Kluyveromyces lactis: one gene and its partner. The protein of the gene in region 2 purifies or fractionates together with the protein of the main gene of each other region. This does not show direct contact. Links are inferred from orthologs where the notes say so. Each region holds a gene or a part of one and is shown on either strand. Other genes may lie near its edges.

Region 1 (3,092 bases), about 250 kb from region 2:
CGTCAGTTAACGGTACTATAGAAGAGTGGTCCAGAGAAGCACACAAAGAGTTGCAAACATCTATCGAACCTCTATTATCTGATTTTGCTTCCAAACAACTTTCCCTTTGGAAAGTTTACACATATTCCGAATCCAAATTATCGTTGAAATTACACGAACTTTGTAACATTACGAATGATCTTCAAATGGTTCAAAATTTATCACATATTTATGGATCTTTAGGCATACCTCAGGATAAGCTATCCATTATAGACCCTGATTATGCTAGGAACAAAGTACCTGTTTTACACAAAGAAATTAATAAGGCAGTTTACTTGAATTTCTTACAGTTGCAATTCCCACTAATAGCTGTTTCCATTGGAGGATTTGTAACAGAGTTATGTACAGCCTACTCGATGGGAGCATTATCTTCGTTAGGTATTGTTTTAGGCCTGAAACGTGTAAAGGATACCTGGTATTCCATGTTAAAGCAATTCCAATTACAGATTAGGGAGGAATGCAGGATAGGAATTGAAAGCAACAAACAACTACTGTTGCATAATTGGGAGATTTCGTATGCCGAGAGAGAAGCAGACCTCAAAGGCAAAGTTGCTCTTTTGAAAGAAATAGCCGACGATCTCACGTAATTATCTATCTGACGGGAAAAGAATCTATTCTTTTTCTCTATATAGTTTGGTAATTTTAACTAAATGGAAACCTGGTATATATATTCGTTATCATTGACTGTCTTGTATCTAACCCATGGGAAAGATTGGTAGTTTAATTGAGGTTCTTCGATCTTGAAATACTCAACTTTTAAACCGCTCACTGCATAATAAGGGATTTCAAACGACATAGCAATTAACGCGAACTTGTCTACATCTTCTTTTTGGTTCTCATTGCCATCATATTCCGTAGTTTTTCCATGGTACTGATCCCAAATTCTCTCTAGTTTGGGGCCAGTCCTTAAAGGTGGTGGGTCCATGGAATTTCGTAGCTGCACCTCTAAAGCTTCATGAATCTGGCGGTCCCATATTTCAAACATGCATTTAAGCCCATAATTCTTGTTTCCATGACCACCCTTCAAATTGTTAATTTTCCAAATTATCGAACCCGCTGTTATGTCGAACACAACATCTCCTATATCGCTTTTAAACAGGGGCGGCTTTTCGAGGTCAATATTCCACTTTCGAATAACTGACTTTATCGGAATTTTAATTAAAAGCTCCTTTGCACTATCCTGAGCTTTGAAATGCGTAGTTATGGCAGCTTTCAACAATAGCTTATCCTGGGTTTCTTGGTTCTTTCTAGGTTTTTGGGATAGCCCGAATGACTGTAGTTTTATAACTGGTTCATCAAGTAGCGGTCTATTCAATTTATAATTACAAAGCTCAAATTCTCCATCCGGTGGAATAAACTTAATAACTGGAGATTCTTCCTTGATTAAGGTATGCAGGTCTACGCATTCATGGAATTTTAAACGTTTCATGAAGTGTACATTCTTCTGCATCAACTTATTCAATCCTATACTCAATTGAGGCATACCAGACAAATAACTCCGGCATATTATTGTTCCGTTGATTACATTATTTCTGACCACACCTTCCTCGAAATCCATAATGAATTCTAATTTCTCAATTACATCAAGAAAGAATTCGTTCTTACCGTAATGGATACCCTTAGGACGCCATGAGACAGCAGATGTCATCGTTCGAAGAATATAACTGTTTATGAATGTTTCATCCTGGTCACCTGGTGGCAGCTCATGTTTTTCAGAGGCTGTATTCTCGGAATCATCGTCGGGTTTGATAACTTCTACCTTTATGAAATCATGTATAATATTATAGTTTGTAACCTGTATGATACCATAATCGGATGATTCCTCAATAACTTCGAAAATTAAATGGAAGTTATCTCGTACATTGAGCTTGTTAAGCTTCATGCCCATAAATTTCCTGCATAACTGGTAGATTTCATCTAAGTAATGTAACACACTTATGGGAGAAACACTATTATTCACTTGCATTATCATAGCGAAATATAGGTTATCACGAGTTATCACAGCGTAATGCCACCCATTGCCTTCGAATATAGGTTTTGTGCATCCCTTATGATGTTTAAGGTTATTCTGTAATTGAAGTATAGCATCATCAAGGAAATGGATCGGTCGTAGTGCTCTTCTTATTAGCGGTTCATACGTCTCATCGAGCAAAAGGAAACATGATGACATTATGACAAGGCTGATTTGACCATCAGTTGATAGTTAACTCGGCACTCTAAATTTACTTCAGGTCTCGGTTAGGTTTGCAGTTACTATATATGCTAGAATAAATGGCTTTGAAGGTGTTTGTTCAAAGCACTTTTGATAAAATGGTGCTTCTTGTGTTTTGTTTCTTCTCAATATTTTTAGTTAATAAAGATTTCTTACATCTTGGAATTCTATCAACTACGCATAGAGAGATGCTGGAAAAGGTAATAAATGCCACTCTTCAAGCACTGAATAGTATAGACATGTACAATAAGATAGTAAAACAGGTACCAGTGCTGTTGCCACCAAAACTTCTGACACAAGAACTCAGAAAATTGCCTAAATGGAGATTAATGGAGAATGAATTGGTTAGAGATTATAAGTTCAGAGATTTTGAAGAGACATGGAGTTTTTTGAACAAAGTTGCCATGAGGTCACACTTATGGGGCCATCATCCTACAATTACTACTACCTACAACAGAGTTCAGTTCAGACTCACTACGCATGATGTATCTGGTATTTCCGATGCTGATATCATGATGGCTTCTCGGATTGAAAAATACATCAAACAAATCGATCCCAAGAAGGGCATCCTAATAGGGGATAAATAGAATGTATTAAATAAATAAATAATAGTGTACTTCTGTTTTGCATAATACCTTGCAAATACATGCTGTCATGATTCATTCCTTGCTTAGTCTTAGTTATGCCTGTACGTTTCTTTCATTGCTAGAAAGAAGTGACATACTGGGCAATTGCAATCATCTCTTACTGCTCTCCAGCTTCTTCTCAAGTTTTTCGAACTCCGCAAGTGCAATCTTCTCCTCAGGATCCAAGATCTGAACCACGTCCTCTACTTCTTCGA
Region 2 (2,232 bases):
ACCAATTTGCAGCAAAAAGCTATATGAAGAAAGATCAGGCAGGGGAAAGAAAGCGCATCGCATTCTGTGGCGTGGGTATATAATAAATAAATAACTGGATCGTTTTTGGTGAAATAGATCTATCTCAGACAAGCCAACATTGTTCCGAAGTATTGACCAAAGCAGAATATATAGTGATTCAAGAGATTGCTACGAACTATAGAAGGGGTTTTAACTAGAAAGAAAGTAATGACGCTAATAAAGATGTTTGCAGCTAGACAAGCCATAGGAAGATTTGCATTGATACAGAACAGAAACTTTCATGCTACGCCGATGAGATGTTATAAAAAATGGAATGAACTAAAGAAGGATGATAAGCAGGAGTTCATCAAGAATTTCGTTCTTTTGTACAAAGAAAAGCATCCATGCAGTAAGAGTAACGTAATGTACAGGGCGTTGGCCAGTGAAATGGATGAATACGATGATACCCCATACGTATTTGGTGTTTTGTACAATGAGATTAGGGCTGTTGAAAAAGGCGAATCTACTGATAACGAGAAAGGTGTAGGTGCGATGGGGGATGCAGATTTTGTAAAACTATTGTACAAGTAGAATTGTTGAGTTTCCGTACATAAAGAAAGAAAGGATAATATATTGTACATATTCACAATTTAATTTAAATTTCTATTCATCTCGGTCAGTATCACGTCAATTGCTTGAATGCATGCATTCTCAACTCAATACCCTATCAAGGTCATCATTTGATTCAATTGCATCCATGGCCTCCACAACATGTATAACTTCATCTTTACTAGTTTCTATTATAGATCCGTCACACATTATCATTTCATCCAATATGCTGTATGCCTTGCTAAAATTGAATATGATATCTAACTCGCAGACGTTCCCAAAATATCTATCCATAGTTTCCACAAATCTGTGTATAATTTCTAAAGTCAACAATTCGTTGTCCGAATCCAAATCAATCCCTGCAATGAAGTATAAACTGGCATATTTCTTGTACACGACTTTGTGATCTTGATATTCTAGAATATTGCACATTTTTGACTTCCTGGACAGTACGTTAGTCGTCACTTCCCTTAGTATTTTATGCTTGTACTTTATATCGAAGGGTTGATACCATCTGATTAACCTAGTCTTGCCTTGCCTCGACGTGAGAAGCATGTACTTAATCTGTGACATTTCAATGACCTTTTTTGTTTATAACGAATAGGATAGCTTTTGTCTCTTAAGCTCGGTGGTTGTGGTATTTAATGCCCTTGTTAATCGTTTATCCGTAGTTTCTCGGATACACCAATTGAAAAGTTGTAGAGCTGAATAATAACCTTAATTTTAAAACATCAACTGGGACAGAATTAGACTTAAACTTTGATTCTAGTGACCTGTTATTCTTTGTTTGTTTTCTTTTGCTTACATGCTGATTCATTCGATTCAGTTACGTTATTACATTCATGTTATATTAATAGTTAATATAACGAAAAATGAGAATCACCGCAGACGACTTTGCATGAAGCTGAAGAAGCGGATACACAAAGGATACATGCAATATATAATTTACATATCCATGACCTGGCCTAATCTTCATCTTCTGGAGGTGGAACCCATGCTGGTGGTTTGAAATATTCTTGATCACTGGCGACATCTTGCTTGAATTTTTCTCTATCGTCACAGAATTCGAGCAAATACTCGATTTCCAATTCATGGGTTTGCCTACCGAGTATAACTAAAGAATGCAATGGTTCACCAGAATCATATTCGGCTAGCTCTTTGATGGTACCTGCTTTGAAGGTTTGGCTTGCAGAACCTAGTCTTGAGATTGCTACACAGGGAGTATCAGGAGTATATGCCTCAGTGCCTCTTGTTTCTTCAATTTCCAATAGTTGTTCACAACATTGTGCAATACTCATGTATCTTGGAGGCTCATAAATGAGTCTTCCACGAGCCATATTCTCTATACTCTGTTCCTTCACTTTGATATCTAGAAGAACCAAGGTGTGCAACCCGATTTTCCGGTTTTCCCATATCTTGTCGTACCAGGAATCTGGTCTCCAACTATCGGTGAAAAAGACCATAGAGATCGTTTGACCAAAATTGTATAGTTGCAACCCACATGATCCTACTGCATTCATAACAGACGCGTTATGGATGACTTCTACTGGAATATTCCTTTGCTTGGCACGCAACACCAAGTCAGTATGAGTGGTGGCTCCAAAAACGTCACCGACAACCAAA

What was found.
Region 1: the proteins of APS1 (region 2) and APM2 purify together in Saccharomyces cerevisiae (affinity purification with mass spectrometry; 4 studies listed by BioGRID, with this or other methods). This does not show direct contact. The link is inferred for Kluyveromyces lactis from reciprocal best matches to the Saccharomyces cerevisiae genes APS1 and APM2.

Annotation. Positions count from the first base shown.
Region 1 is NC_006042.1:2,364,749-2,367,840, forward strand, and holds APM2 (Apm2p), read right to left. Parts: upstream 2,210-3,092; coding exon 686-2,209; downstream 1-685. Other genes in the region: KLLA0_F25410g (uncharacterized protein), read left to right, coding at 1-626; MCO14 (4a-hydroxytetrahydrobiopterin dehydratase), read left to right, coding at 2,311-2,838; NFU1 (Nfu1p), read right to left, coding at 2,989-3,092. UniProt on the Saccharomyces cerevisiae protein: Component of the AP-1-related (AP-1R) complex, an adapter protein complex that mediates of cargo protein sorting in clathrin-coated vesicles. AP-1R has a specific role in SNARE SNC1 sorting.
Region 2 is NC_006042.1:2,118,555-2,120,786, forward strand, and holds APS1 (Aps1p), read right to left. Parts: upstream 1,183-2,232; coding exon 712-1,182; downstream 1-711. Other genes in the region: KLLA0_F22792g (uncharacterized protein), read left to right, coding at 229-591; DPH5 (diphthine synthase), read right to left, coding at 1,575-2,232. UniProt on the Saccharomyces cerevisiae protein: Component of the adapter complexes which link clathrin to receptors in coated vesicles. Clathrin-associated protein complexes are believed to interact with the cytoplasmic tails of membrane proteins, leading to their selection and concentration.